2 linked regions of the Rhinolophus ferrumequinum genome follow. The protein of the gene in region 2 purifies or fractionates together with the protein of the main gene of each other region. This does not show direct contact. Links are inferred from orthologs where the notes say so. Each region holds a gene or a part of one and is shown on either strand. Other genes may lie near its edges. The genes, in order: MAVS and NLRX1.

Region 1 (16,350 bases), on a different chromosome or scaffold from region 2:
ACTGGAGGTCAGAGGACTGAGGGCTGCCATGTCAGAGGAGGGCTCCACGGGGCCACCGGGCCTGCTCAGTATAGCCCCAGAGCTGGATGTCTGTGGGGCCTTCTTTGAGCTCTGCAAGAGGGAAAATGTGGATAAGGCAGATGCTTCTCCCAGGAGCTGGCAAAGGGCAGCTTATACTTGTGGGGCAGCTTCTGTAGGCCTGAGCCGACACCGTGGAGCACAGGAAACAAGGACGCCCTTGCCTTGGCTTTGGTCATTGTCATATCCTCTGACTACAGGTGACTTTGAACCTACCTCATAGAAAACACGCACACCATCCCCTGGAGAGTCCCTAACCATCTGTCTGGCCCTATAGAAAGGTGCCCTTCTCTAAGGTCATTGCACAGACCCCTTTCTTGGGCTTCAAGTCCATGGTTTGGAGTCTCCGCACAATCACTGCCAACTCATCATATCCCACCACTAGAATCAGTCATCTTTCCCCCAAACTTCACTTTCCTGGCAATAAATACAGCTCCACCACCCACCCGCAAGCCCATCACCTCCTGCTCCATCACCCCCCCCATCTGGTCAACATCTCACATGCACCATTGCAAAGACCTCAAGCTGTGACCTCACAGCTGGTTGACAAGAGGGCTGGGGCTGCCACAGGGGGCAGCTCTGATCAACAGACTGAGAAAGAGCCTCACTGGGGGAGCCCTGGGGTTCTGAGCAGAGATTAGGTACGATTTGTCGGGGGCAGGAAGGGGCTTCTGGACGATTCGGTGAGCAGAAGTGGGCAGACAGCAACAGAGAATACAGGGTCGATTATGAGGACGCACCTCCCCCAGGGACTCTGGTGACTGGGTGTCTTGAACAGGCATGGGGTAACTTGGATCCTCGTCTCTGTCGCTGTTGTTGGAGGCACTGGGGGCCACAGCAGGTGTGGAGCGCCCTGGAACCTCAGCAGGAACTGACGGTGACTCCAGTGGGGCAGGAGGGCATTTCTGGTTCACTGGAAAACAAAGATATAGTGAAGCCAAGGAGGAATCAGGGGGGTTCCCAGTGATAAGAGAGGCCTCGGTGCTCTTGTACCCCCAGGGCCATGGCTATTGGCCCCCCACAGCTCCAAAAGCTGTCCTGATATGAGATGTACTCCTCAGAGGAGACAAGCTTCACTGAGGGAAGGACAAAAAGAGGAAGGCAGAGCGAAGGGGGAGGGGTGCCTCACTGGCCTCTCACCATCCAGACTAGCTCAGCAGTCACCACTTCTGTCCCTGGGTGTTCTGAGACCCAGTGGCTTTCTCCTCCTCCTTGTGAGTGTCTGTCACCACTAACTGACCCCTGACCTGATCCTGCCACCTCAGCCCTTCTCCTTTGCCCCCACCACAGCCGTTTGTATTCAGGGGATCACTGTTAATCTCCAAGTGAAGAGACAAGTTTGGAAAGAAGGGAGGGAGGGAGGGAAGGAAGGAAGGTAGAGATAAAAGAAGACAAGCAGGGAATGTTCTAAGGCTGTATCTCTAGGCAGGGCCTCAGGAGTTGTCTCTATTCTGAAATATAAATAAAGCTGGTTTGAGTTTTCTTCCTGTCTCAGCCCCTCAGACCTTGACCTCACAAAATCCCCCTCTGGGCACTTGGCCTGGCAGGGAGCATTGAGGGAAGCTGAGGGGTAACTGGGGAGCTGGGGTGGAGAACCTAGAAGGCTTTAAGGAAAACCAGGGGAGTGGAAGAGACAAAGGGAAAGGAAGGAAGAAACCCATGGGAATGAAAAAGGAGACAGTGAAGGGAGAGAAAAAGGAGAGAGCAGTGGAGAGAGAAAAGGTGAACTGAGGAGGAAGTGAGAAAAGGAATGGGAGGCAAACGTCACAGACACAGAAATGAGAGGAGGCTCCATTTGCTGAGTACTTGACATGCCAGCGTCCCGTGGTATCCACCGCAGCCCTGTGAGGTAGATGTTGCCATGAGCCCTGTTTTGCAGAGAAGACTGAGGCTCAGGGAAATTAAGGGACCTGGCAAAGGGACACAGCTATTAAGTAGCTACGCTGGGATGTATAGTCAGGTTTGTCTACTGCCCAGGAGTGATGGGAGGGAGGGTGACAGAGGAAGGGAGGAGATACAAGGGCAAGGGGACAAGGAGAGGGGAGGCTAGGGGAACAGACAAGGGTTCCAAGAGGAGGGCCAGGGCAGGAGGCTTACAGGGCAGGTTGCTCTGGTAGACATGGGCCACTTCGTCAGCGAGACCAACCAGCTCACAAGCCTTCAGTCCCCGGATGAGGTATTCCACCCAGCCAGTCCGGCGCTGAAGGCTGTTGAAGAGTTCCCAGATGGTGTTCTGGTTCCCTCTGCGGTCGTAGCAGGCCCGCAGTAGGTCCTGGAAGACACAGCCCATCTCCTTGCTCAAGCCAGGTGGCCCTGGCCCCTTCCCCACTCAGGAGGGGCACCAAGAGGAGGCAGCCGCCTGAAACTGGGTCAGAGCCCAGGACAAGGCTAGGGTTTGAATCCAAGTTTAAAGGCAGCTAGCTATCAGGAAAGAGGCTCTTACTGTGTCCCAGGCTCTCTTGCTCAGGGTTTTGTGTGAATTATCTTATTTAATGCAACTATTACTCCTACTCTGCTGATGGGGAAACTGCGGCTTCGCAGAAGTAAGGCAGCAAAGATCCTACAGCAGTGGGGCAGGAATCCGAACCCAGTTAGTCTGATGCCAAAGCCTAGGGTTTGCCCCCAAGGCGAAAGAAAGGGTTTGGATTGGCAAAAGAGAAAAAGGTATGTAGGAAACAGTAGATGAGGGAGATATAAAAGAAAAGAGAGGGGGTCAACTATAAGAAACAGGGAGCGGGGTGGCCGGTTAGCTCAGTTGGTTAGAGCGCTGTGCTCTTAACAACAAGGTTGCCTGTTCGATCCCCACATGGGCCACTGTGAGCTGCGCCCTCCACAACTAGATTGAAACAACTACTTGACTTGGAGCTCATGGGTCCTGGAAAAACACACTTAAAATAAATAAAGGTTAAAAAAAAAAAAAAGAAAGAAAGAAAGAAACAGGGAGGATGAGGGACTGGGGAGATTCTGAGACAATGAAATAGTTGCAGAGCTTTTAAATCTACCTGAATCCCTGCATACAAACAAGCAACCAGATAGCAGAAACAAAACCCACAGAAAATACAGAGGGTGCCAAAAAAACGTATACACATTTTAAGAAAGGAAAAAAACTGTATTAAAATTCTAATACTCAATATATACTGATAACAAAAGATGAATACAAGTCATGTGTGTAATCTTTTCGGCACTCCCGGTATTTACTGAAGAACAAGGTGTTGAGGTATCCCTATAAACCCCAAAATATAAGGGGAAGGGGCCAAACCCCATCAGCCACAGACCCACATGCTACCAGCATATGTGGGGAGGAAGCAGAGAACAGAGGGGTTCAATCTGCGAACAGCAAAAACTGGGAAGGGTCTGGCTGGCTTCACGAGGTGCCCACAGCAAGTTCTGAGGCGGCTTGGGGTGGTCTGGCACCCATACACTCTCAAAACTGAGCCCTGGGATCCCTACCAGGACAGGGTCTCACAACAAGGAGAATGAAATAAAAACTGAGTCGGAACAAGGACAAGAGAGATGAAGAAAAAGAAGGTGCCAATAGAAGTGGGTGAGGGGCCCGGAGCCTGGAAACCTCAGGCAGCCAGCGCCATATTGTTGAGCATTACATCAAAACGACACCAGAGGGAGCTCAGGAAAGTTGGATAGGCTACCCTGAACCATAATTCTGAAAGTGAGAGAAGCCACCAGGGCAGGAAGTGGGATACAGACAAGATGGAAGGAAGGAGTCGGCTCTGGCTTCGGTGAAGCTCTGAATTCCACAGCCCTGCCCCCAGTCTGGCTACCTGACATGCCCTGGCTCACCTGGTCACTTGGTGTGAGGCAAGACAGGTGAGGCAGAATCTCCAGAACATGAATACGGTCAAAATTTCGGTAATGATAGCGGATATACTGGAAAGTCTTGTCCTCGGCAAACGTCATCACTGTTCAGGCTCTGTAGTGACCGAGGGCTCTGGCCCATGGATGGACTGAGACAGAGGATAAATGACTGGAAGAAAACAGATCACACATGGCAACCGGGTTGGGAGTGGGGTTGGGCAAAAGGCAGTTCTTTCTGGTCTCTGGAATTTTGGCTTTTCTCTTTAATCAACGTAGTTCATGGTTGCCTGAGTCCCAGAGGCCCTCGAGGAATTTGCTTAAAAACAAATTGATGACCGAAAAAAAAGAAAAATCAGACCCAGAAGTCTTAGGGCCCATTTCTGCCCTGCAAGTTGTTCAGTATTGGGGGGGGTCTGGCTTCCCACCATTGTCCTCAGACCTGTATGTGCCCCTAGCCACTCACAGCAAGAAGACTCCACTTAGAAGTGCTGCTTCTTTGAGGTACACTAGGAAAAAAAAGAAGCCCAACATAATAACAGGATCCATCCTACTTTAATGGTGAAGGAAATGAAGTATTAAGAAATAAAGGGGGCTTGCTTGTTAGTGCAAGAGCAAAGAACTGAGGTCTTCAGGATTCAGGATCAGATTCTTTCCAGAACACGACTGCAGGGCCACCATGAAAGCAGTTTGCTACATACACGTTCTTAGGGTAGGAGGCTGAGTTCCACTGTCCTGAACTCACTATTGACCTGGGGCAAGTTACCCGTCTTTTCCAGGCTTGTCCTCACCCCTACAATGGGTCAGGGAGCTTGTTTTGACAATACAGTAGTTCGGCCTGATGAGCTTGAAATTTATAAGCGCCTCAAATACAAGCAAGTACCGCCAGTTGCTTATGGAGCACTTACAATTTGCAAGTACATGCATTTGTTTGTGTGTTGTTTATTTGCCTCCCCTCTGGGGAGAGCTGCAGGGAATAAGAGAAATGAGATTTCTGCCATCATCCAGTTTATATTCTACTGGGGTGGGACAGATAACAAATCAGTAAACACATACATAAATAAGAATCCCAGAGAGTAATAAACATTACCAAGAAAACAAAGCGGGGTAACGAAACAGAAGCCCTGGAGAAGGGCGTGCTGCTTGCACTGGGATGGTCAGGGAAGACTTCCTGAATTGGCTGCATTTGAGTTGTGCCGTTCGTTCGGTGTTTCAGGCAGAGGCACTAGTGAGAAGTCCTAAAGTGGAAACCAGCTCAGCGTGTCTGAAGAATAGAAAGCAGGTCTCAGCGCGTCTGAAGAATAGAAAGCAGGTCGCTGTGGTCCAGGTTTAGAAAGCTAGGGGGAGGGGTGGAGATCAAGAAAGTTGGGAGGAGCTGTTACAAAGAGTGTTACAGGAAAGGGTGTTGGGTTTCATTTGGAGGGTTCTGAACAGGGAGGGGAGGGAGAGGATCTATGTTAAAGACCTCTCTGGTGATTGTGAGGACCTTGGACTATGGAGACGCCAGGATAGAAACAAGGAAACAAGTCAGGAGGCCACAGCAGGGCACAGACAAATGTACGGCTGGGGTGGTAACCAGTGGTGGAGAGAGAGAGGTGGTTGGATTCCTGGTGTTTTGTGGGTTTGGGAGGTGAGGAAAGGAGAAAAATCAAGGATGACTCTTTGGGCGCTGGGTGGATGGATGGTGCTATTTAGCCAGTCAGAGAATCCAGGGGAGGAGCAGAGGTGCACAGGGAACTCCAGAGCTCCATTTTGAATAAGTGAAGCTTGAAATGCTATTGAATGTCCAAGTGGGTTTTCAGGGAGGGAAGGGGGCACAGAGAGGGCCAGGCTAGAGTAGAAACGAGGGGTCAGGCTTGAGTGAGACCTCTAGGAGACAGCGCTGCAGAATGCCCAAAAGCTGCTGAGGCCGCCAGTCTCTTGCCAAATGGGAAACCGGGCAGCAGTCCTGTCTCCTGGCTTCACAGCTTCAAGTTGCATGACTTGCTTTGCCAACCACCAGATGCTACATTCCTACTGGGACAAGTGCTAATGATAGAGGTCAAGAGGATTAGGGAGGGAGGGCCGGGGTTCCTGGGAGATTTCAGGAGATGAGCAAAGAATAACTGTGGTAGCTAAAGACCCTTTTCTCCTTCCCTCCCATGGCATCCAGGGAGGCATCAGGAGAGAGTCAGGTGATAACATTTTTCTGCATCCCAGCCTCAGCCCTTAAGGCACAGAGTTTGGGGGGCAATGGGTTATGATATGATCCCACCAAAAAGAAAAGAAGCCCATAGTTGTTCACATTTATTGAGGATCCACTATAGGCAGAAACTTATTAAATAAGTTTCTCTCATTTAATCCTTGCCACAAATTCATGAGAGAAGTGATGCCAAGGTGCACAGCTGACCAGTGGCCCTGACAGGATTTGAACCCAGGACTTGATGTCTCACTGCAGCTCACCATACACTTTGCAGGTCATAGAAGCCCCTGCAGCAAGTGAAACTCAAACAACCCCTGCCTTCAAGTTCAGGAAAGGGCCAAGGTCACCATCTGAGTGAGGGGGGTCACTGGGTGAGGGTGCACCTGGGAGGATGCAACATTTAGTCCTGAACCGAACCGTGCCCTCCACAGCAGCGCGGTTCTCAGGTCGCTGACTCTCCTTCCAGATGTTTTTGAGGCTCCACAGCATCTATACGGGGAATGTCGTTTGGGATTTTGGGGTTTGTTGTTGTTTTTTTCAATGTTTTCCTGGCACCTCTTTCCGATCTCAGAGATGGGCAGCGAAGGTTCCGGATCCACTCGGCGAGGAGTTTCCGACCCGACTGTCCCAGGGGTCTGAGTGCTCTTGATGAATATCCACCCACGCGGGAAAGGCGAGGCCTCACAGCCCCATAGACCGAGGTCCACGGAGGACAGGGAGGCTGTTCTTCTGAGCAGGTGTCACCACCGAAAACTGTCAAAACCTAGGGGAGGGCGGTAACCTCCACCCCGAGGCACGGCCAAGGCCACAGGAGGTTGGCGCACTAGAGCTAGGCCTTGCCCGGGGGTCACCCTGGGCCTGAGCAGGGCAGCGGGAGGGCCTCAGCGGCCGGCGCCCGTTTCCTTCCTTTCCAACCTTCCCCCGCAGCCCAAGCAGACGCTCCTTGCCCCCCACTTCCCGACCCCCTGGGTGCCCTCGCTGTCCCAAACTCCAAGTGCCTTAGGACTCTCTCTTCCCGAGCCCCGCGCACCCTGTCCCCTCCCCGGCCTCCCGCGCGCCCCGGACCTCCTGAACTCTGGCGGATTCCAAGTCCCATTTGGCTCCTGACGCCGCGGGCCACCTCCCCGAAAGGCGTCTGTACGCCCTGAGCCCAGAGGACCAGGCGCGTGGGCTGCGATCTTACCTCGGGTAGCCACGACGCGGCGACCTGCGGACAGCCCCGACTGCCACCGGCCGCCAGAACCCTCCCCCGCCAGGGCGGGGCCATTGGTCGCACGGCGGGGGCCGGGCTTCGCGGTCCGCGCAGGCCGCTGGGAGACTGCGGGTGGCACTAGGCCTAGATTTAGAGGCCAGGACGCTCCGGGCGGACCTACGTTCCTGCAGGGGAGCAAAGGAGCAAATTATTGTCTTTCCCTGTTCGTCTCAGGCAGCTTTCAGGGGAAGTCCAGGGTCTAGTTAAAAACCAAGTGGGCTCCAGACCTCCGAGTCTGTGCCCTGTTGAGTTCCCAAACTTTCTACACAAAGCAATCCCTCCTCCTGCCCAGTGATTTTAGGGGGGAGAGGCTTTATGTGGTTTGCTCTTGGAAGCCCAGGGTCTAGCACACAGTACTCAACAAACGTGCCCAGCCAGGTGAGTGCCCAGCCAGATGAGTGCCCAGCCAGGCGACGCGCGTGCTGGGCCTGAGAAAGCAGGATCCGAGTGCAGGGCGTAGGTACCAAGGCTGCTTACCTGGCTCCCTCAGTGTGGGCCATGAGTGCTGTGTGAGAAAGGCCTCTCCACCCAAAGGTAAGGGGCGGGTGACTTCCCGCAGTGCTTGCCAGCCGCCTGTCCTTCCTCTGATGGGGCACAGGACACTCACAGGGGCAGAAGCTGGCAATTACTGAGGGCCCCCTGTGTTCCAGGTACAGGCTTCAAGTTCCTATCTTAGGGCTCTTTAAATGCTCTCATAATAATGAGATAGAAGTTTATTTTTTCTGTTTTAAAGAGAGACTTAAAGCTTTGGGGAAAGGTTTGGCTATTCTTACTAAAGTTTAAACATGCCAGCCGTCTCACTCAGCAACCACTCCTACCTATACATCCACCTAGAAACACTCACAATAGATAATGTTCATAGTAACTTTATTCACAATAGGCACACTCTGGAAACAACCCAAGGGTCCATCAGCAGGAGAATGGAGAGACAAACTCTGGTGTGCTCACACCATGGAATAATATACAACAGTAAAAAAGAATAAGCTATTGATACACACAACTTGCCTGAATCTCACCAGTATGAATGGGCACCATGGCTAACCAAGCCAAGCACAGAAAGTTCATGCTGTCTGTTCCAAGTCACAAGGTAAGGGTTGAAAACAGGCAAAACTCATCTACATAAATAGAAATCATTATCACTAGCTACCTCTAGGGATGTTGAGGGGTGGGGTACAAGGGAGCCTTCCGGTGGGATGGAAATATCCTGTGTCTTGATATGAGTGTTGGGTACATGGGCTTGTGCATACGTAAAAATGCATCAGCTGTACACTTAAGATTGTTACTGCAACTTTAAAAGGAAAGACATCTGAGAGGTTAAGAGGTTTGGCCTAGATCACATGCAAATGCCTGAATACATGCCTGTCTCCAAAGCCAGAGCTCCCAAACTGAATTGTAGGAGGGATGCTTTTTCAGATGATAATTGATTACTTGGAAACCTTGTGGATATTTCACAACATTCAGTATTTACAAAATGTTAATATTACACCTGAACTCAACTAACTGTAATAAAGCCACATCTGCCTTGTTTAGCCAAGACAGCGTTAACATTAATTGGTTCAAGAATTACTCCTGCCTGCTACCCACCCCAAATCCAGTGACCTCATATCTGATTCTTGCAGGAAGAGTGTTGGAAGTGCAGTGAATTGCTTCTAAATGTAGTTGCCACCCTGTTTTTGTTGGACTTCATAGGGCATTAAAAAAAAAAAATACAGCTTCCTCAAAAACACAATGAGATACTGTCTTAGTCCATTTGAGCTGCTATAACAAAAATCCATAGACTGGGTGGCTTAATCAACAAACATTTATTTCTGAGTTCTGGAAAGTTGGGAAGTCCAAGATCAAGATGCTGACGGATTTGGTGTCTGATAAGGGCCCACTTTCTGGTTCATAGACATAATCCTCACATGGCAGAAGAAGCAAGGTAGCTCTCTGGGGTCTTTAGAAGAGCACTAATTCCACTGATAAAGGCTTCACCCTTATGACCTAATCACCTCCCAAAGACCCCCACCTCTAAATACCACTACGTTGGGGATTAGGTTTCAATATATGAATTGTGGGGTTCGGGGGACAAAAACATTCAGTCTATAGGTATCAACCATTGGGGTGGCTATTATTAAAACAACCAGAAAATAACAAGTGTTTGGCAAGGATGTGGAGAAATTGGAACCCTTGTACATTGCTGGTGGGAATGCAAAATGGTGAGACTGCTGTGGAAAACAATATGGTGGTTCCTTAAAAAATTAGAACTAGAACTACATCCGATCCAGCAATTCCACTCCTGGATACATACCCAAAGAACTGAAAGCAGAGACTGGAACAGATATTTGTACATTCATGTGCATAGTAGCATATTCACAACAGTCAAAAGGTAGAAGCAACCCAAATGTCTATCAATGAATGAAAGGATAAACAAAATATGCTATATACATACAATGGAATATCATTCAGCCCTTAAAAGGGAAGGAAATTCAAACACATGCTATAACACGGATGAACTTTGAAGACATTATGCTAAGTGAAATAAGCCAGTCACAAAAGGAAAAATACTAAATGATTCTACTTACGAGTATATGAGGTACCTAGAGTAGTCAAATTCATAAAGATAGAAAGTAGAATGGTGGTTGCAATGGAGAATAGAGAATTGGTATCGAACGGGTAGAGTTTCAGTTGAGGACAATGAAAAAGTTCTGTGGATGGACGGTGGTAATGAATGCACAACAAATGTACTTAATGCCACAGAACTGTACACTTGAAATGGTTAAAATTGTAAATTTTATGTATATTTTGCCACAATAAAAATTCTGACCTACTTGGTTTCCTGTCACCTTTATCAGGAAACCAAAGGAGGGCACAACCTCACATCTATGGTATACCTGCTAAAACTCATAGTCAAGAGGAAACATCAAACAAACTCAAAATGAGGGGCATTCAACAGCTGTCCTGTCCAATGCAGCAGCCATCTACCACATGTGACTATTATTTTAATTAAGTAGAATATAAGATTCAGTTCTTCAACCCCACTAGCCACATTTTAAATGTCATTTTTCATGTAGCTACTGGCTATCATATTGGACAGCACAGATGCAGAGCATTTCTATCATGGCAGAAAGTTCTTTTGGAGAGCTTTTTTTTAAAAAAAAAAGTTGTATTGGCCTTTCAAGCTTGGCATTTGGGTGGTGGGTCCCCCTGGCATGTTCAACATGAGTATGGAGACATGTTATTTCTGGTAGGGACCCATATATCCCGGCCACTGCCTGATGTTTGTCCACAAGGATTGCAAGGTGTTCAGATTCTGTAAATCCAAGTGTCATAAAAACTTTAAAAAGAAGCACAATCTGGGCTGGCCCGGTGGCTCAGGCAGTTGGAGCTCCATGCGTCTAACTCTGAAGTCTGCCAGTTCAATTCCCACATGGGCCAGTGGGCTCTCAACCACAAGGTTGCCAGTTCAACTCCTGCAAGGGATAGTGGGCTGCGCCCCCTGCAACTAGCAACAGCAACTGGACCTGGAGCTGAGCTGCACCCTCCCCAACTAAGACTGAAAGGACAACAATTTGAAGCTGAACGACACCCTCCACAACTAAGATTGAAAGGACAATAACTTGACTTGGAAAAAAAGTCCTGGAAGTACACACTGTTCCCCAATAAAGTCCTGTTCCCCTTCCCCAATAAAATCTTTAAAAAAGAAGAAGAAGAAGAAGAAGCACAATCCTCACACGTTCAGGTGGACTAAAGCATTCTGTAAAGCAGAAATGAACCTGTCAAGTACCAGCGAAAGTTGTGGAATAAAACTATTGATACAATGAAGAGCGCAAACAGAAATGCCAAGTGAAATTTGTAATGAACAGGTTGAAGAAAAATAAAGAACTACAGAAAGTTCAGGACATTAAAGAAGTCAAGCAAAACATTCATCTCATTCGGCCCCTTTTGCATGCCAAGGAAAGCATCTGGAAAACAAAATGGTACAGAAATTACAACAGGATGTGACATGAAAGTTGTTTCTGAAAATCTTAACTGTCTGTAACCATTCCTATGAGTGCATTGGAAAACCTCCGTTAGAGACTTAGAACATCTAAATTAGTTTTTTTACATAAGGTGACTCAAATGAAAAAGTGATTAAAAATACATCTCTTCTACATTGCTATCTGAAAAACATCAGATATTATGGATGCTAGATTGCATCTCAATGTTAAATCTTCACTGATAGATGTGTACTTACATAAATCATGAAAATTTTGTGAACACAGAAGTGAATCGTGGACATAAAATGGTCATGCCACTTGGATAATGGCACATTTATGTAATAACTAATGACAAAAATTCATGACTAGTGATATATAAAATTTTCTTTGCAGTAAAATAAAAAAAGTTGTATTGGATAGCGCTGATCTATAATGTCAAGGCCATAAAAGACAAGGAAAGACTGAGGAGCTATCCTAGATTAAAGGAGAATAAAAAGGTATAACAATTGAAAGCAGTGTGGGATCCTGTGTTGGACTCTGAAACAGAAGAAGACATCAGTGGGACAAATGAGCCTTACTAAGGCTTTTGGATTAGTTAATAATATTCTATCAGTATTAATTTTCTGGGATTGCATCCCACCCTATTTCATGAGTAGAATTCACTGATCATTGTCCATTTATTAATGGAAGGGCGAGTCTGGAGAGCAATCTATATGCCAGGCCACCTGCACCCCCGGGTGAGGGCTTTGGAGACCGCCTCCCTGGTAAAGTTCATCCCCAGGTGGCCAGTGTCTCCAGGCCAGTGCTCAAAGAGGGCTGTGGCTCATGTGGTTCACATGTGATGACTCAGCAATCGCCAGCTCACATTTCCCTCCAGAGAGCAAAGTCAGACTCAAAGATAGTGCCTGAGGGCCCCACGAAGGGATATGTTCTCATATCTGACTCCCTTCAGACCTCTCCAAGCCTGAAAAACAAAATATAAACCCTGCCTTTACAACCTCATTGCAAATAAGTTTTTAAACTGTTATTCTTTAAACTATTTTATATTTTCATACTGTCAGTTTTATTACAAAAAAAATATGCTCAATAAAGCTGGGGGAAATTAATATATGCTTATATAGTTAATATGGGGGGAATAAACATGTTTAATAAAGAAAATAAAAATCCGTACTCATAATGCCACCATCCAAGAGAAACTGCTGGTGACACTCTGGTGTCTTTTCTCCAGTATTTTCTTTTCTATAAAGCAAGGCCTCTGAGTCCTCTGGCTTCTCAGAGTTCCCCTTGCCTTGACCAGACACATGAGATGATTCAAGCCATGATATGGGACATAACGGAGTCTGGTATGAGCCCTTACTTCTCAGGGGTCTCAGAACGAGGGGACTTGGACCATGTCAGATGGTGGGTCAGTCCCTGCTGCATCCGGTTCCCCAGGGCTGTCCAGCCCCTGTGGTCAGCATGGACTCCTCATCAGCCTCAGGGCATTGTGTTGCTGGTCACCTGCCATTCAGGGGCTGCCATCCTGCTATTCCTGCCTGAGAACCACTGACATGAGTTACTTGGCAATAGACATTGAAATGGGGGGTTGGCAGGAAACAGGGAAATGAGCACATGGTCAGCGTTTACCTTCAAAGTAAGGTATCAGAGTTCCTAAAATTCACAGACCTCCCCCAACGCAGGAGACTTTTCCCTGGCCACCTCACTCCACGGCCCCAGCTTCCTACCATACTGCTGGTGCCCCTCTTGGTGTCTCTTGCTGTGGGGCCCCTCCCCTAGTATCTGGAGCTCGGTGCAAAAAAACAGAAACCACTGTAGGTATTTTGTGCATGGAAGAGTTTTGTTTCTTGAAGCATAATTTACATACCATAAAACACATCAATCTTAAGTGTGCAATTTGATTAATTTTTATCCAAGTAAATACCTGTGTAACTAGATCAAGATCTGGATTGTTTTCCGTCTCCCCAGAAAGTTCCCTTGTAATCTTTCTTTATCAATCTCCATCCCCAATCATTATTCTGATTTCATCAACATAGTTTAGTTTTACCTGTTTTTGAATTTAAGACAAATGGAATCGGATAATACATACTGTCTTCTCTCTAGTATCTTTCCTTCTTTACCCACTTCAGCTTTCTTTAATAGAGAATCAGAAGAAAGTATATGACCTTCCTATAAAACCAAATAAACATGAGCTCAAACAGATCAGGAAAAAAGACAAAGCAAAACAAAATATTTTACTCAGTTTTTGTTATTGTTGCAATTATTCAGTTATTTTATTTATGTTACAGAAATCTGTGAGGAGGGTGAAAAACTTTAGTCAAAAAGGGGTAAGAAGTCTATATGAAACTCATCTGTTTTTTATTCCCCCTTTCTTCCACCACTCTCCACCCCCCACTCCGGTTCAAGCAGTCGTTTCTCAGTCTAGTTGTGTAGGACGTAGCTCCCTGGCCCATGCTGGTATGAGCCTTGCGCTCCTCGCCGACAGAGGCAGTCGGTTTCCAGTCATGGGTCGGCCGCTCACAGCAGCTCACGGCAGCTCTCGCTGGCTGGCTGGCTGCCTGCCGCTCACGATGGCTGCCGGCCACCCATGGAAGCACACAGCAGGCCCCACAGCAGCACACGGCAGCTCAAGCTAACCTCCGGGTGCTCAGGGCAGCCCAGCTCCAAGCAGTCCAGCTCCAGGGAGAGCTGTTGTTCACAATCTTAGCTGTAGAGGGCGCAGCTCACTGACCCATGTGAGAATCGAACCTGCGACCTCCGTGTTAGGATTTCGGTGTTCCAACAACCTGAGCCACCAGGCAGGCCTGAAACTCATCTATTTTTATACCATTTAAATCTTTAAGATTATTAAGACTATTGCCAGAGGTCTTAATAATTAAAACTCTTTAAAAAGTCAATTATTAAGAATGTAAGCATCTCACAAGATGTTTCTTCTACTGTCACACTACACTGTTGCTGAAGCCAAGGGTAGAGTTTTTTCTATACCAACGCATTCTATTTAAATCACATTTCTGAATCCACTTGAGAATAAAACTACTGTTCAAGGCATTTTCCAGACTCCACCTCTTCCAGAAGGTGATGTAGAGCCACATTGCAAGGGTGTGAATAAAAGGGTGGGATGAAAAGTCAGGGCAATCTATCACACTAGCCCATAGCACCCACCATACCTCCCACTCCCAGAACCATCCAGCAAATCCCAAGCACCCTATTACTTTTTTGTGCAAAGCAACAAGAGTTTCTGTGTCTTACCTTTTCTGTTCCTTCATTTTGTCCTGTTTCCTGGGTTCCTTATTTTCCAAATCTTCTAATTCATTTCTAATGTAAGCAATATTTTTATTTTCTGAGAATTTGTTCTTGTTCTGTTGTTCCTCTCTTTGCTTTATGGATGTGATACCGTCCTGAATCTAATTACTGAGAATAGTAATTAAGAGAGCCTTTTTAAAAATAATTCTCTTGAGGCAAGCTCTGTACAACAGGGTTGCCAATTCGATTCTCACATGGGCCAGTGAGCTGCGCCCTCCACAACTAGACTGAAGACAATGAGCTGCCGCTGAGCTTCTAGAAGGGTGGCCAATGGCTCAGTTGGTTAGAGCGTGAGCTCTCAACAACAACAAGGTTGCCGGTTCAATTCCCACATGAGATGGTGGGCTGCGCCCCTTGCAACTAAGAATTGAAACGGCTACTGGACTTAGAGCTGAGCTGTGCCCTCCACAACTAGATTGAAGGACAATGATTTGGAGCTGATGGGCCCTGAAGAAGCACACTGTTCCCCAAAATTCCCCAATAAAAATTTAAAAAAAAAAGAATTTTCTTATGTCCCCTGCATGGTTTTCCTCTGAAACCATTGTTTGCTGTTTGCTTATTTAGTTTCTCTTTTTGTGTGGCAGGCTTCCTCCAAATGTCTGGTGAACTTTGTTCACGTTAAGAATGAGGCAATAAAAAGCACTGGGGAAGTTTTGTGCACATTTCTGGCTTGTGGCTTGCTTTTGGGGGGACCAGGTGGGTACCTGCCTGCAGAATAGCCTTTACAGGCCAAAACACGAAAGTTTCATACATGGGGCTGTTCTGTTTCTTTAAAGCATGGGTGCTTAACCTAGGTCAGACCAGTGATTCCCTGTGTAGTAAAGTCCACAGGCCAGAACAATGTTTTTAAATGCATTTAAAGGTACATAGGGTTACAAAACAACAACAACCACAACAAAACAAGAACAAAAAAACTTGAAATACAATTATTAAACTAGTAAATGTTTGTTTCAGTAAATAAATATTTAAGTACTGTCATGCATAAATGATAATCTGAGGTATCTGCATCAACTCTATGGTGATATGAAAATATCCGTAATTTTTTTTGGTGACCCAGTCTCTGATTCATTGTCATTTGTGGCTGACATTTAAAAAGGAAGGAAATTACAAAAGGCACAATTTTGCAAGATAATGAGTACGTTTATTATCCTGACTGTGGTAATGGTTTCCTGGGTATATTATATATATGTCAAATCTCATCAAATTGCACACTTTAAATATGTATAGTGTTGGGGAAATAAAGAATCCTGCCAACAGAAAGACCCCCATATAGAGAGAGAAAACACTAGTATTGAAAATGCAATCAGATTACAAACATGCAGGTACTTCATGAGATGATATAATCTGGACAGCATTTCACACTTTTTATCCAGTAAAGTAGAAGAAAGAACAATGGAAACTTCTCTTATATCTTGGGAGACGAATGAAGCTTGTGGTATTTTCCTGTCCAGCTCACAAGAGATTCCTGAGTTAATTTCAGAGGTTGGTGAATAGGGTTCTAAGGTCAGAAGGCTTGCACTGTGAAATCCAGAGACTGGGTTTATGTAATTTCTGACCAATAGTTGAGCCTATAATGTTTTTAAGGACTCATCCTACAGTGAGGGGAGAAGCAGCTACCTCTTCTTCATTAAATAACAACAACAACACTTTATTTATCCTTACTGCAAGGCTTGCGGCGAGATAATGAAGCTAAGAGAGTCAGGCGGGTTGAGAAAGGTGAGTGCTTTATTCTGTGCTCCCGGGCAAGGTTCACCGGTCCGCAGACGGGG
Region 2 (16,467 bases):
CAGTAGACCTTGAGGACCCCAGCCGGGGGGAAGGGCTCAGGGGTTTTCCCACTCAGTGGGATGGGTGCGCAGTGCGTGGGTCTGTGTGCAGGCTCACCTGATCCAATTTCCTCTCCCCAGGAAGTGGATCCCATTGAAAGCCACACCTTTGCCACCAGTACCCTCACACAGTTCTGCATCCTCTTCAAAAGGACCTTCTTGTCCATCCTCAGGGACACGGTGAGGCATCAAGTTGGGGAAGAGGGAGCTGGCATAGATCTAGCCTTTTGAGGCATAGGATCTCAGCGATAGGAATGGGGATGGGGTCCCTCCCCCAGGAATCCCCCACCCTCCCTCCCAGGGCACCTATGGGTCTATGTGCCTGTGAGGCCAGCTCCAGGTCCCTGCCCCAGTGTGTCTGTCTATCTCTTTTCTGTGACCGGTCCCCTCTCTGCGTGATGACCTCATCACACAGGTCCTAACCCACCTGCGATTTGTGTCCCACGTGGTGATTGGTGTGCTCATTGGTCTCCTCTACCTGCACATCGGCGACGATGCCAGCAAGGTCTTCAACAACACCGGCTGCCTCTTCTTCTCCATGCTGTTCCTCATGTTCGCTGCCCTTATGCCAACTGTGCTCACCTGTGAGCTGAGCTTCCCCGGGCAGGGACCGGGATGCTGGGGCACGGGGTAGGAGCCAGGGTGTCAGCCAGGTATGCCTAATTGGCCTGTGTCCTCAGTCCCTTTAGAGATGGCTGTCTTCATGAGGGAGCATCTCAACTACTGGTACAGCCTCAAAGCGTATTACCTGGCCAAGACCATGGCCGATGTGCCCTTCCAGGTGAGCCTTTTCCTGGCACCTGCCTACTGCCTCCCTCCTGTCTTGCTCCCTCCATCCTTTCTTGCTTGCCTCCCTCAGCCTTGTCACCAGTCATTCTTTCCTTTCTTTCCACTCACTTAGCAAATAGGTACTGAGTACCTACCATGCACCAAGCTATGTACCAAGCACTAGGGACACAGCAGTGAACAAAACAGATATAGTCTTGACCTTATGAAACTTATGTTCTAGTGGAAACAACTGATTGGACAAAGAGAAAATGATGAAAATAATAACCCTACAAATGACTCTGTAAATCTTATTTGAAGCAGTAGAGAATAGTGTAGGCTCTGGAATCTTAGTGCTACTTACTTGTTAGCTGCAAGATGTTGGGCAAGTCACCTAATGTCTCTTTGCTTCAGTGTCCTCATCTATACAATGGAACAACGATAGTATCTACCTTCGGAATGTTTGTGAGAACTAAATGAGTTAATACATTTAAAGTACTTAGAATGGTGCTTGACACATACTAAAGTGCCCAATAAATGTTAGCTGTTTTGGGTTGTTCTTATTGCCACTACCACCCTGTTCCAAGCACTAGGGCCCTTGTGCAAATTAGAAAAAGGTGCTTCTTGCTCAGGGTGGACGTTGCACTGTGCCAGGGTGCATGACTTAGTGAGAAGAGCACAGCTGGATCTCAGCCTCTGGCTGCCGCTTGCTTGGGTATCCTTGTGCAGGGAACAACCTGCACGCCAAACGTAGTAGGCTTGGTCCCTGCCCTCCAGGAGTTGGAGTTGATAGCTCATAGGGGGACAAAACTCATATATAGAGTTAATTAATTAACAATACAAGGAATAAGCTGGTCCATATGGGAAGGGCTTTAGGAGCTCAGAGGATGGAGAATTCACCAGGCTTGCGGTGGTCAGAGTGGGCCTAATGGAGAGGTGAGACTGGAAGATGAATGAGGTTCATATGGCCAGTGAGGAAGGGGACACGTGCACCTGGGGTGGAGGACCGCATGAACAAGAATGTAGAGGCAGGCCTCGGCACGGGCGCTCTAGGAGTAGCTGCTCTAGAGGCTCCTGTCCAGGCACAGTGGGGGTCTTTGTTGTTGTGCCTCTGGCTTGTCGCCCACTGCCCAGGCCTGTGACACTCCCCAGGTGGCGTGCCCAGTTGTGTACTGCAGCATCGTGTACTGGATGACAGGCCAGCCAGCTGAGACCAGCCGCTTCCTGCTCTTCTCAGCCCTGGCCACCGCCACTGCCTTGGTGGCCCAGTCTTTGGGGCTGCTGATTGGAGCTGCCTCCAACTCCCTACAGGTGGGACGGCTGGCGGTGGGGCCTCCGAGAGGGGAGGAAGCAGGGCTGACAGAAGGAGAGGAAGAGATCTGTGGGAACCCTGGGGCTGCCCCAGTCCTGAGTCTGTCCTGGTCACCTCTGTGATGGCCCGGACCCCTTCCCTTCCCCTCCAGGTGGCCACATTTGTGGGCCCAGTTACCGCCATCCCTGTCCTCTTGTTCTCCGGTTTCTTTGTCAGCTTCAAGACCATCCCCACTTACCTGCAATGGAGCTCCTACCTCTCCTACGTCAGGTCAGTGCAGCTTCCCTGGCCATCTGCCCCTGCTCCTCCCTGCAGCAGGCCATGCCCCAGGGATGAGAGAGTTGCATCTGAGTTCTAGCAGTTTACCCAGGGCGCAGTGACCCTCTGCTCTGTATCCTGTTCTGATGCTTCTGCTTGCCTAGGTATGGCTTTGAGGGTGTGATTCTAACCATCTACGGCATGGAGAGAGGACAATTGACCTGCTTAGAGGAGCGCTGCCCTTTCCGGGAGCCAGACAGTATCCTCCGAGCGCTGGATGTGGAGGGTGCCAAGCTCTACATGGACTTCTTGGTCTTGGGCATCTTCTTCCTGGCCCTGCGGCTGTTGGCATACCTTGTGCTCCGGTACCGGGTCAAATCAGAGAGATAGAGATTCACCCTGGCCTGTGCCCCAGCCCCCACAGCAGGAAGCTCCCAGCCCCAGCCCTTTGGGACTGTTTTAACCTTGTCGACTTGGGCACTGGTTGCTGGTACAGCCGCCCTCCCCTCTCTTGGCTCCTTCACAGGCTGACTGTCAGACTGCGCTCCCAGCCGTGGCCCTGGGAGTGGGGGCTCCAGCCCTCTGTGCTGTGCCCAGGAGTCTTCCCAAGTTGATGTGGTTTGTGGCTTTCTCCCTTCTCTCTCCAACATCTGCATGCAAAGACCACTAGGAGGTTATCACCCTCCTTCCTGCCCTCTGCCAACCTCCTCCGTTATCTGCCTAGGAGCCCCAGGCTCTCCAGGCCCCCACATACAACTGACCAAAGTGGCCCCCTCTGGGAGTTCCCACCACACAAGTGTTTGTAAATTGGGCTATTACAAGGTTGGGGTTTCCGGGCTGGGCCCTGGTGGGGTCCCCTGAAAGTCCCATTTGGACATTGCAATGGAGTAGGGGAGGACTCTGGAAGTCTCTCCCTCCTCCTCACCTTCTCCCCACCCCCACACCCTGTCTGATTTGGCCAATCTGCTGGGACAGAAGCTGGGTTTTCTGTCTGGGTCATCCCTTCCAATTCTGGGGATTGGAGAGGCCTGGGGCTGTGGGATGCCCCCTCTCCCTCCCCATCACCTTTTGGTGGGGGTAGGGCCTGGTGGCACCTCTGCAATAATGTCGGTGTTTCTTTCCCACCTGCCACTGGAATTAGAGAATGCACTTTATTCTCGGGGGTGAGTGAGGGAAGAACCAAGCCTCCTTTCTCGCTGCTCCTGCCGCATGGTCCGGTCCTGCAGTGCTCCTTCCCCTCTCTGGGATTACAGGCACATACATGAGAATAAGCAATCTCAGCCCTACACACTCTCACTGTCCCCTGTAGCTCAGAGGAAGAGTGATGGTAGTGGTGGTGGGTGCTGGAGGGGGGCAGTGCTAACCTCCTCCTGGGGGTCCCCGCTTTGACAGTAAGGATTAAGGTGGTACTGCCCAGGGCATCTTCCAGATCTGCAGGTGTCTACTCCCCCCCCCCCCCCGTTTTTGCTCTCTCCCAAACCCGGGGTGGCACAGGGTCCTAGCTCCCTGGAGTTCAGGACCTAACACAAGCACAAGCATGGGCATAAGTTGGCCTTGGCCACTGCCACCCCATGGCCCTTCTTTTGTGTGTTAAGCTGGCATTCTCATTCCTCCACCCCTTCCTCAGCCACTTGCTACTCATTTAAACTCCTGCCCATGTCTCTCTATCCCCTTCCCATCAGCCAAGATGGCCCCTGGGCACGCCCTGGGCAGCATACCCTGGGCACCATGGTGACAAACACACCTGGGGCATGTCTGGCTTTCCTGGTTGGTACACGTCCATTCAACCTCTGATTTCTCCTTCCCCCGGGGCTCTTTTCCACCTTATTCCTGGGCACATACCTCTATACCTTCCCTCTCCGACACAGAGTCTTCCCATCACACTGAATGCCAGTTGTATTTGTGGGATTTCACTCATTATTAATAAAACCTATATTTATACAGTATGAAGTGTGTAAATGTATGTGGGTCTGGCACCTGGTCCCATGGGCTGTGAGGGGCTCTTCAATACACTTGGCAAGAAGTCTGTGAGCTTTAGGGAGCCTGTGGCAGGGGAGGGTAAGTCCTATGAATATGTCAAGCTAGTGCAATTATGTATCATGCTTTACATCTTATAAATGCTTCATGTTTATTAACTAAGGGGAGTGTCATGCCACCCCTGCATTATCCCTCATGACAACCCATTTTGCAGATGAGAGAACTGAGACTTGGGTTGAGTCACTTGTCCAAGCATCCTTAGCTAATGGAGGTGAAACCAAGCTGAAGAGTCTGGAGGCAGAAGTCTTCATTCTTTTTTTTAAAACTTTTATTTATTTTAGGTGTGGTTTTCCAGGACCCATCAGCTCCAAGTCATGTAGTTGTTTCAATCTAGTTGTGGAGGGCGCAGCTCACAGTGGCCCATGAGGGGATCAAACTGGCAACCTTGTTGTTAAGAGCACCGCCCTCTAACCAACTGAGCTAAACCGGCCACCCCAGACTCTTCATTCTTGACATCAGCCACTGACACCGTTCCTGGTGGATCTGCAAGCTGTGTGTATGTGTGTGTCCTGTGTCTGTTCATGGGTGTGTTCTTACCTGAGTGTTACATGACTTTCTCCTCAGAATTCATTAAGCCCTGGTTGTTTCGCATCCAGCACGACGAGGGTTGTGGGGAGCGAGGAGGGCGGCGCAGGGTTAAGAAAAGACAGTAGCCATGAATAGAGTGCAAGTGGAGGCCAAAGGACCAGCAGCCTCTTGGTCTGGGCTGTGGCACCTAATCGGGCCTCGCATCCGCTTTTATTAGTTAGGTGGGGAAGTTAAGGAAATAAAGGTGTCAATCTCAAGATCTGTGAATTCCATACACCATAATAGGAAACTGATTCAAGCCAAGCACCCTTGCCTGCAGGCAGCTGGGCCTTAAGTCTCAACTTCCCCAAGGGACAAAGCCTATATGCGTGTGAATAGATGGAGAGCACACCATTGAATGTCTTCCCCTGCAGGTTGTGGGAAGGAATGCAGCCACAGAGGCTGAGGCTTTTCTTAGCCTGGGGAAGGTGGGGGCTGTGCCCACCTCTATGAACCTGTGGGTTCTCCTGTTGGTCCCCACTCGACTGTGCCTGGCTTTAGTTGTCCCCCACCATTGGGGAATCTTGCTCGTCATTGGCTGACCAGCCATCTTTTTGGGGCCAAACGGAGACATGAGGTGCAAACACAAAGGTTTAGCAAAGTCCCTGAAAGGATCTGTCTCACAGACTCTCCTTTCTTTGGGGGCAAGTACAAGGAAACAAATGGTTAGGCTGCTGCGTGGCGAAAGGTTGTGCCTATGGGGCAGGGGTGTAGGGTGTGGGGTTAGTCATGAAGGGCAATGAGAAGTAGGAAAAACCCTGCAACCTAAGTCCTAGGATGAGAGTGGCAGGGGCCTCCTTAGCTCACCCTAGCTTTCCCCTTTTCTTCCTCTCTTCTTTCCTACCAGGGCCACGATTACCAGGGCCAAGCCATTGGCCACCAGGACTACAGATGGGTCTGGTGCCCTAAAGTTTAGAGTAGGCAATTATCCAGAAGTCCTTGAGGGCTGGTGGCAGGATGATGCAAGAAGCAGCACACTGTCTCACCTTTTTCCCTTCTGATCCTGAAACTTGGAGACTGAAGGAAGGGATTGGCATCAACCTTGCCAGCTGCCTGGAACACTCCAGTTGTGCCACATGCAGAGCTAAGTGCCCTGGACTAGATTAGGGTCCAATCTATGACTGATTGGGTGCTTGTCTGGAGATGGACTAACTTTGTTTCTAATGGTGGTTGGGGATAGGAGTGAGAAGTAGAAAGAAGTCCAGCTCCTGGAATTCTAGCTAGTTTTAGGGGGCATTCTGGGTGCCACCTTCTGCCTGCAGGGATACCAGTATGTGGCTCCTAATGGTGGCACAAAATCCCACCATTAGATGGTCTTTCTTAAGATTCTTCATCTTTACTCTTTCCCTTTTAAAATGCCAACACTATCCTGAAAGACTGAGAATTTATAAATTCACACATTTGTAAGTTCCCTTGGCAGCTAAGGAGATGACCATCCAATCTGGAACTAGCAAGGGCCATTCAGGCACAGAGAACATTTGTAGAGTGGCTCACATATTTTCCAAGAGAGCTCTTTTTATTCTTAGAGCAACCCCATGAGGCTGCAGGATGAGTATTATCATTTCCTCCTTTTACAGAGAAGGAAACCAAAGCTTGGATAAGTTGACTTGAACAAGCTCTCAAGATATGGTGCTCTTGGCACTGTGAAGCACCTGTGATTTCTCCCACCAGTCCCACCAACCTGCAGAGTGGGGTATAAATGCCCCCACCCATCCAAGCAGGTTTTGAAATGGGCCTACTTGGCCTGAGTGCTGACCTTCCTGGACGCAGATCATCTTTTCCAACAGAACCATCTCTGTATCAGGGCCTGTGCAAGGTGTTGGAGGGCAGAGTGACCAAGACTGTTCTCCATGCGATGACTCTACAGCACCTGGCACCCGATCCTGAGGACAAACGACAGAGTACATGCCCACAGCATGACTGACAGTACTTCAGTCTGCAAGAGGCTAGCCAAATTATATGTTATTAATAAAGCTTACATGACTATCATACCTGCTGGGGTTGGGGGTGGGTGGGAGAGGGGAACCTTGCTCTGAGCTGTGTCCGGTAACCGCAGCTGCCTTGCATGACTAGGTAAGTGGGGTGAAGCTATAGGAGTCACCCCAAGCCTAAAATGTCACCCCTGAGACCACATTCATAGGGTTGCTCTATTTTTCTCCTACCATCCCTTTGTACTCCCTTTTCAGAATGTCTCTTAAAATGCAAATTTGCCATTTTCTCTGCTGCCTGGAATGCCTTTCTCTTCCCTGACTTATTTCTTAAAACCCATTTCAAATGTCACCTCCTCTGCCAGAGGCAGTTAGTAACTTCCTCCCCCAGCCTTTCCTAAGCCTTCTGTCTGCCTCTGAAGTACCATCATTTGGGACCCCTGGAGGAGAGCTGATATAGCCAGGTCCCTGAATGCCTTGTTCTGTTTGCTCGATACTATCCAATACCACGTGATCAGTGAATGAACAAATGTATCAGTGAAATACCAATACTGTCTTCAGTCTGAATGGAGGGTAGAGATCACACAGCCCTCTTCCCAGCGCTGCCCCGAGGAACTCTATGCATTCCCTACTGCACACCTCTGCTCAGTCAGTGCACATTGCACACCTATGTTTGCATGTAGGGGCATGCCCTGGCTGTGGATGTGGGTGGCTTCTCCAGCGGCTACATTGGCTGTGGGTGTGCCCTGCATGGAAGCAGAGGGATGTGAGTGGGAGCTTTGAGGACCAGGAAGCCCCAGGGCTAGGCCATAATTGGGTGTCAGACAAGAAGAGCAGGTTGGGGTGGGAGCTGTTTCTCAGCCCCCATCCTTCCTCTTTCCGTGGCCAAAGTGACCAGAAGCAGTACACAGAGGTCTGGGGTATGGAAAGAGCCAGGTACAGAAGGAAGGACCCAAGAAGGCCTTGACTCAGATCTCTGTCAGGAGGTAGGCTGCAGAGTTGAAGAAGCAAGCAGAGAGAAGAATGAATACCTGAGGGACGGTGGGTGCCTCAAGGGGGCCCAGGGTGAGGTAGGAAGACCCAGGCCCAGGATTCCTGTTCTGGTACTTCCGCTTCCTCACTGCATCAACCTGCGAGGGTCATTTCACCTTTCCAAGCTGCAGTTCCTCCATCTGTAAAATGGGCATAACGACAAGCCCCGTTCAGGAGGTGGTCAGCGAGGTAACTGGATGGGACTGGCGTTTGATAACCTGCAGAGGGCAGTCTTAGAGGCGGGGCCCGGCCGACTGGAGGCTGTACGCGCGGGGGGCGGGAGCAATGCAGGAGCGGATGGGGAAGAAGTCCCCACCCCAAGCCTGCTCTACCCGGCCCCCGGGCCCTGTTGCTCTTCCCTTTCTCCTAGGACCCCGAGCGCCTGGGCTCGTCCTTTCCGGTGCCTGCTGCCGGGGTCGGATGCGAGGGCGGCCAGGCAAGAAGCGCCGCGCCGGAGCCTCTGGGAACAAGCGGGAGACGCCGGCGGGCGAGGGACTCCAGGGCTTGGGCAGCCGCGGGTAAAGGCCTAGCCAGCTGGGTCTCCCCTTGTCCCCCGCCGGGCCTGGCAGAGTGGGGACGGGGCAGGGCGGATGGTGGGGGGTGGGGGGTGCGGGGTGCTGCGCAAGTGCTGCTGGGAGTTCGCGGCCTGGGACGAGTAGGACGCAGCTGGTCCGCTGAGTGGTGGTCTTTCTGGCAGGCTCTCCCCTCAGGGTCTGAAGCACAGTGGAGCTAGGAGAGCAGTTTGGGACGCAGTTTGGGGGGAGGAGCGCTGGACAAGTGGGAGCACAGCCCCTGTACGTTTCCTGCTGTGTCTCCTTTTCTCACTGCCCTGGAGACCTGGGGTGAGAATTTGTCTTCACCACCACTCCACCCCTCCGAGAGTCCCATCTTGAGCCAGTGGCTCTGGATCTGATTTCATCACACCGAGCGAATTTCCCCAACCTTTCTCAGCTTTCCATGGCCCTCTCTTTAATCCTTCTCCAGTCCCTAGGACTCCTGCTCTGAGTCCCAGATGGCCCCATCCACTGGTTAGCCCTGGTGGCAGATGGGCCCAGCGCAGCCAGTTCTCCCTAAGTGTGCCCGGCCCCTAAGCACCCAAATTTCTAGAGACTATGTGCCAAATAGCAGCAGCCTCCATTTAAGGGAGCTCAGAGGGATCAGGAAAGACTTCCCAGGAGAGAGGGCCTTTGAGCATGTCTTAAAGGATTGGGTAGGATTCTGACGGGAGAATGGTCATTCCAATCTGAAGAAAGCATATGAACAAAGTTAGGAAAGCACAAGCAAGAATTCAGTGAATCTGGCGAATGAGATGTGGGTCAGGACAAACTCAGAAATAATAGTTTGTGTGAGCCAGCTGTTTGGACTCTACTACATGTAACCTAGGATTTTAGGGGGGTGATTGGTGGCTGGGATGAAGGCTTGGAATGGGATGAGACCAAAGACAGAGGCCAATAAGGAGAAGGGGGTCTCTGGAAGTCTGCAGAGGATCTGAGTTAGCACAGGGACAGACGGGACGCTGCAGTAGGAACAGGCAGGCAACGCCCTGGGAGGAGGAATCAGCCTGTTTCAACTGTGAAGGAGGGAGGAAGAATTGAAGACAGAGGTCAGATTTCTAAACATGTGATTTGGAAGATTTGCAGGGAAGTACCTAAAAGGGGAAAGGAATGATGAGTTCAGTTTTGTATGTGTGAAGCTTGAAGCATGGGCAGGATATTCATATGGAGATATCAAGTAGGAAGTTCATTCATTTATTATTTATGCCAGCCTCAGAGGCAGCTTTTACATAGAAGATAAAATTATAAAAACTGTTAAAACTCAGCTAAAAGGAACTGATAGCTAGGGGAAAATATGCAGAAGGGAGTGGATAATTGTTACTGGAAAATGTTGGCTCAGAAAAGCCACTGAAAATGAACATAGGACTCATCTGAGCTTGCTGGCAGCCAAGCAAAAAAAAAAAAGAGGACACTAAAATAAAGCAGTTCACTAGGCTGGAACTCAGGAGAAAGGCCTTCTTAAAGCCTCAAGGGAAAGGCAATAGGTGGTAGGAGGTAAAATGGGATCCCTCAGGTGGGGGATATGGGAGAAGGAGGACATCTGAAGGCCAGGCCGGGGCGTTGGCACTGTTGACATTTAAGGAAAGTCTGATGCTCTCCTGAGGAGAAAGACCCTTCCTTGGCCTGCCCCGGGAGGTGAGGGTGGGACGCTGGGAGGGTGTGGTCCATTCACACCAATTTTCTTGCAGGGGAATAGGACACGTGGTAGTGTGCCAGGTCCCCTGGGGTCTGACCTCCTCCCTACAATGAGGTGGAGCCGCCCTTTGCCCAGGACCTTATGGGGCCCTGGTCTGGGAAGAGCACTCCAGCCAGCAGGTAAGCAGGAAGCAGGGGTTTCTGTTTCTCCCTCTCCCTTCCTCTTTAGAGCCCAGATGGTGCCTCCAACAGGGCAGGGATCCAGCCACCAGGTGTGCTAGTCTCAACTCTGTGATTCACGAGTTGTTGGCCTTGGGCAGGTTACCTCAGCTCCCTGAGCTTCCTTTTTCCCATCTCAAAATAAGGGAGTCAGGCTAGATGATCTCTTGAGAGTCCCTGTAGCTATGTAAGTCCAGGAATATTTGTCTGATTTCATCTTGCACTCAACAAATATTTTTTGAGTGCCTGCTATGTGCTAGACCCGTGCTAAGTTGTAAGTATAGCACGGTGAACAAAAACAGATGTGATCCTGCTCGCATGATGGGCAGGAAATGAATGTTAATCAGATAATCACACAATAAGATATAAAATTGCATAATAACTGCTACAAAGGGGTGATACATGATGCCATGAGAGCAAATAATGGGGAATTCGATGTAGACATGGGGTCTAGGTATTGGTGGGGAAATCTGGTTGGGATCGCGATGCTATTTCTTCCTCTCCTTTCTCTGTAGATGAACATATCCCCTTCCTGATCCACTGGACTTGGGCCCTTAAAGGGGATTGTACCTTTGGTCCCCATAGGTGAGGCTTTGGTGTCATACCTTAGACCCATCTGGGCATAGCAGAATAGCCTGGGAAGAGTCAGGACTTAGAGAGAGCTTGATCTCCTGGGGAGAGGTTGGTCTTCTAGAGGTGGGGAGGGTATAGAGTCAGCTACCAGGCTTAAGAGGAAGTTGGCTTACATCATCTACAGTACACGTCACAGTGGTTAGCCAGTGGGAGGGTCTGTGGAAAGTGGGTGGAGTCTGGCAGTGACCAGCCTGAGTTCCAGACAGGCAATGGTGGGGGACTGGCGGGCTAGAGGGGAGACCTCGGTCCCTGGGAGGAGTGTGAGAGACAGACAGTCTTGACTTGGGTGTCCAGGGTTGGGTCTGGATCTCAGGAAGCCAGAAGTCCATCAATCCAGACAGGCCTGGACTCTGAGCCTGTGCAGAGGCTGAGCCCAGGAGCCAAGCCCCAGCTCATGTCTTCTCCTTGCTCCCAGGGTCCTTATACGCCACCGTGGAAGCTCAGTGGGCAGTGGTCCCCCATCAGGGAGGCATGAGCAGTTATTCCGGAGCACCTCTGCAGCTGGTAAAGAGATTGGTTCCTCAGTTGTCTGAGAAGAGGGGCTGGCTGGGATCCAGTGAGGGGTGTGGTGGGGAGAGGGGCCTGGAGGGAGAAGCGGGCAGGAAGGAGGAGGCACAGAGGACCCACTGTCATCATCTATTAATGGGCCCACCTTCCCTTTCCCTATCATCCATCTGTCCATGTATCCCTTCCTGCACCACTCATGCAGTGCACGCTATGTCCAAAGCCCTGCGAGGAATGTGCCATCCCTACCTTCAACAAACTGGGTCTAGAAGTCAGGTGAAGATTGCACACAGATACATCTGTGAAACCAGTCAGCCCAGGTTCAGCATCACTCATCCTGTGGCTCCCCACTTTCTGCCTCAGGTGTTCCAGACTTTCTGGACATTGTATTTTCTGAGGGAGACTGGTGTGCCCAGCTCCATTCTGGGCCCCAGCATCTTCTGGTGCTGTCTTAACTCTGCAGCCTGACCCTCCTACCACCCTGACTGGCTCTAAGCTCCTATATCTCCTGGCCCCTTTCTCTGGCCCATTCCCTTTGCCTTCCCATCCAGAAGCCATCCAGCGGCACCGCCGGAACCTGGCCGAGTGGTTCAGCCGGCTACCCAGGGAAGAGCGCCAATTTGGCCCGACCTTTGCACTAGACACCATCCATGTGGATCCTGTGATTCGCGAGAGCACCCCCGATGAGCTGCTTCGCCCACCTTCAGAGCTGGCTCTGGAGCATCAGCTGCCCCCGGCCAGGCTCCCCACACTCGCCCTGTCTCAACTCTTTGACCCAGATGCCTGTGGGCACCGGGTGCAGACAGTGGTTCTGTATGGGACAGTGGGCACAGGCAAGAGCACATTGGTGCGCAAGATGGTCTTGGACTGGTGTTATGGGCGGCTGCCAGCCTTTGAGCTGCTCATCCCCTTCTCCTGTGAGGACCTGTCATCCCTGGGTCCTACCCCAGCCAGCTTGTGCCAACTTGTGGCCCAGCGCTACACACCCCTGAAGGAGATTCTGCCCTTGATGGCCACCACTGGGTCTCGCCTACTCTTTGTGCTCCATGGCTTAGAGCATCTCAACCTTGACTTCCGGCTGGCAGGCACAGGGCTTTGCAGTGATCCTGAGAAGCCAGAGGCACCAGCTGCCATCATAGTCAATCTGCTGCGCAAATACATGCTGCCTGAGGTAGGTAGCCCCCTGCCCCACTGTGCCACCTCTGCCCTGATTTGCCATCTACGGATTTTTGTGTCCTGAGCGTGCATGTTTATTGGGTAGGAATATAGGCCCTGGGCTAGTTCAAACTCTGGCCCCTCCGCTTCTAGATGTGTGTCTTTGAGCAAGTCACTAACTTCCCCAAACTTCTGTTTCCTTCTATCCTTGAATTGTGCTGATGAAGTGAGATAACTGCCTATAAAATGCTTGGCACATTGCCTTGGCTCATAGTAGGCGCTCAGTAGTTGTTAATTGTAATTATTATGGTTTATCATCACCTTCCTCCTTGGACACTCAATCTTCAGGTGTTCCGTGGGGAGTAAGGCAATCAGGATATCATGGTCTTTCTTAACCCTCAACCATGCTCTTCCCAGGCCAGCATTCTGGTGACCACCCGTCCCTCTGCCATTGGCCGCATCCCCAGCAAATATGTGGGCCGCTATGGCGAGATCTGTGGCTTCTCTGATACCAACCTGCAGAAGCTCTATTTCCAGCTACGCCTCAACCAGCCAGACTGTGGGCACAGTGCTGGGGGTGTGGGTGTCTCCGCCACACCAGCTCAGCGTGACAACCTGGTAGAGATGCTCTCTAGGAACCTGGAAGGGCACCACCAGATCGCTGCTGCCTGCTTCCTGCCCTCCTATTGCTGGCTTGTCTGTGCCACCTTGCACTTCCTGCATGCCCCCACGCCAGTCGGACAGACCCTCACAAGCATCTATACCAGCTTCCTGCGTCTAAACTTCAATGGGGAGATGCTGGACAGCACTGACCCCTCTAAGTTGTCCCTGATGGCCTATGCAGCCCGAACCATGGGCAAGTTGGCCTATGAGGGGGTGTCTTCACGCAAGACCTACTTCTCTGAAGAGGATGTCCATGGCTGCCTGGAAGCTGGCATCAGGACAGAAGAGGAGTTTCAGCTGCTGCATGTCTTCCGCCGGGATGCCCTGAGATTTTTTCTGGCCCCATGTGTGGAGCCAGGGCACCTGGGCACCTTCGTGTTTACTGTGCCTGCCATGCAGGAATACCTTGCTGCCCTCTACATTGTTCTAGGTTTGCGTAAGACAACTCTGCAGCGGGTGGGCAAGGAAGTGGCTGAGCTCGTGGGCCGTGTTGGGGAGGACGTCAGCCTGGTCTTGGGCATCGTAGCCAAGCTGCTGCCCCTGCGGGCTCTGCCTCTGCTCTTCAACTTGCTTAAGGTAACATCCCCAGGACCCTAGGCTGTCAGCTCCCTAATCCCCTTGCTCCTCTCCCAGTAGGAAACTGCTACTTCTTCTTGGCTCTGGTTTCAGATTTGGACAATTTGGCTTTTAATAGGATTGGGGCATAAGGAAGGGGGAGAGAGAAGCCACAAGGCTAGGGAAGGCTTGGAGGCTTGGGAAGGGAATTTGAGGGTGCAGGGACTTTAATAATAATCCTACAACCCTGAGATGATTTCCTTTTGCATCTCTCCTCCTAGTTTGTTGCTAAGAGGCAGGAGTCACTATAGTGCAGGGTCTGTCTTCTGCTTTGCAGGTCCTGACTCTCAATTGTATCTGTTCCCCCAGAAGTGATTAGACTCCAGGAGTGATGACTCATCTTAACTAAATCACGAGAGACAGGTTTATAAAGCAGATGCCATTTTATTGATTTATACCAAGACGATAAATGCATTGGTAATTGGCTTAGGACAGTCTGTCCAGGGTGCAGGTCCACTCCAGAAACCAAATTACAGACTTGAGAACTGTGCTGTGAGCAGGCCGGATGTGCTGTTTTTTTGGGGAAGAAGGATCCACTCTCTGCTGATGTCTGCTTGGGGCCTCGTAAATGAAATACCGTAACGATCCCTTTTATAGATGAGGGAGCTGAGGCGCACAGAGGCTAAGGAACTTTTCTAAGGTCACTTAGATAGTTCATAGAATAGCTGGGATCTGAGTCCAGGTTTCATGATGCTGAATCCTGGTTTACTGCTACTTTGTGGATTTTCTGTTAAGCTGTGGTGACTTGCTAGGTAATCCTTGTCCTCTGTAGGAATATTTTAGTAACTGGTCTCGAGAAGGCAGAGCCCTGGTCAGTGCTGACAAAATTTCAACAAGTTTTCCTTTTTATAGGCAGCAAAGCATAAGGGTTAAGAACAGGGATTCAGGGGAGACAACCCAGATGGCGCAGTAGGTAAGCGTTGTGTTTACCTTCTCTCACAACCACACCAAAATTACAGCTAATGTACATAACAACCATTATTGAGAATCGCCTAAAATCAAGTTGAACTGAAGCCTTTCAACTAAGGACATGCAGAAGAAGCCACCTCCAGACTGGTAGGAAGGTCAGAGACGCAGAATGGACTGGCCCCACACTCACGTGGGACCTTTAAAGATCGGGAGGGCTATTTCAGCTATAGGGGTCCCACCCTCACCCCCTAGAGGAGCGAGAGATCCCAGCCCAGGGTTCCAGTGCTGGGGAGAGAAGTCCCCATAAATTTTGGTTGTGAAAACCAGTGGACATTGTGACTTGAGTGCGCTGCACTCTCAGGTGCTCCTCTTAAGGGACTGCGCACGGACTTACCCACCAATGGAATCATGTGCTCTGAGCTCCAGCGCTGGGGCAACAGCTGGAAAGGTGGCAGGGACAGATGGTGGGGAATTGAATTGTCTGGCTTGGCATAGGGGCTGGAGAGGTGGCTTTCTCCTGGACGGAGGAACTGGTGGAAGCCATTGTTTCATTGTTGAGCCCTCCCTCTTCCCAGCATGCCAACACGGGCGGCCGCCATTTTTGAGTCTCCACCATTCATGCCCTGCCAAGGGGATTTGAAACCTGGCCCCGCCCAACTTTCGGGCACACCCAGGCTGCTTTCAGTGGCTTTCTCGTGCAGACTGTCTGCTTTGGCTCAAGCTGCAGACTTTCCTAGGGTTTCTCAAAGTTTCACGGAGCCCAGACAAGCAGCATCTGGCTTGAGTGTGTCCTGTACCTTTGGCTGAGCAGCCCTAAGCTAGCACTAGCGGTAGCTGGCCTTGGTTCGTGGCTTGGCCTCGCAAAACGCTTCCAAGCACAGCATGGTTGCAGACATCTGCAGAATTTCTTTCTGGCTCCTGCTAGGTGGCCCTGGGTGGGGCACAGGCTGTGTCTGAAGTAGACCTACAGTGGATCCCCTCCAAGGTGGTCCTGGGGCTGGCACCCCCAGTGCCCAGCTTCAAAACGAGCTGGAGCATCACCCAGCCGCCTCCAAGTACAATACACACAACGGGCAGATTGGGCAGGCACCAGGGTCCAGCTGAGGCAGATCCTGCTCTGTAGGATCAGCCCCTGCACAACAACCCTTCACTGTAACAAAGGACAGTCCTCACAACCAGTGAGCCCAAAGGTCTGTCCCTCACATTGATGTGCAATTATCAACCAAGGCTCAACTACAAGAGGAGGGCACACACATCCCACACAAGGGACACACCTGGAGCGTGTGGCTCAGGTGACCAGAAAGACTGTGCCACTGAACCCCACAGCACACCTACCACATAAGGCCACTCTACTAATATCAGAAGACATAGCAGCTCTACCTACTACATAGAAACAAACACAGGGAGGCAGCCAAAATGGGGAGACAAAGAAACATGTCCCAAGTAAAAGAACAGAACAAAGCTCCAGAAAAAGAACTAAGTGAAATGGAGATAAACAATCTATCAGACGCAGAGTTCCAAACACTGATTATAACAGTGCTCAGTGATCTCAGGGAGAACTTCAACAGAGAGATGAAAACCATAAAAAAGGACCAGTCAGAAATAATGGATACAATAAAAAGAAACAAAGAATATAGGAAAT

What was found.
Region 1: the proteins of NLRX1 (region 2) and MAVS purify together in Homo sapiens (affinity purification with western blotting; 4 studies listed by BioGRID and IntAct, with this or other methods). This does not show direct contact. The link is inferred for Rhinolophus ferrumequinum from reciprocal best matches to the Homo sapiens genes NLRX1 and MAVS.

The regions. Positions count from the first base shown.
Region 1 is NC_046306.1:25,765,620-25,781,969, reverse strand, and holds the start of MAVS (mitochondrial antiviral-signaling protein), read right to left. Parts: upstream 7,353-16,350; 5' UTR 7,254-7,352; intron 5,226-7,253; exon of another isoform or gene 4,979-5,225; intron 4,061-4,978; 5' UTR 3,994-4,060; coding exon 3,877-3,993; intron 2,351-3,876; coding exon 2,176-2,350; intron 992-2,175; coding exon 819-991; intron 112-818; coding exon 1-111.
Region 2 is NC_046294.1:88,412,941-88,429,407, forward strand, and holds the start of NLRX1 (NLR family member X1), read left to right. Parts: upstream 1-7,995; 5' UTR 7,996-8,135; coding exon 8,136-8,456; intron 8,457-10,182; exon of another isoform or gene 10,183-10,237; coding exon of another isoform or gene 10,238-10,307; intron 10,308-10,356; coding exon 10,357-10,399; intron 10,400-10,861; coding exon 10,862-10,931; intron 10,932-11,394; coding exon 11,395-11,483; intron 11,484-12,034; coding exon 12,035-12,654; intron 12,655-13,055; coding exon 13,056-13,877; intron 13,878-16,467. Other genes in the region: ABCG4 (ATP-binding cassette sub-family G member 4), read left to right, coding at 121-219, 455-623, 720-820, 1,957-2,115, 2,268-2,386, 2,539-2,739, 2,901-2,988.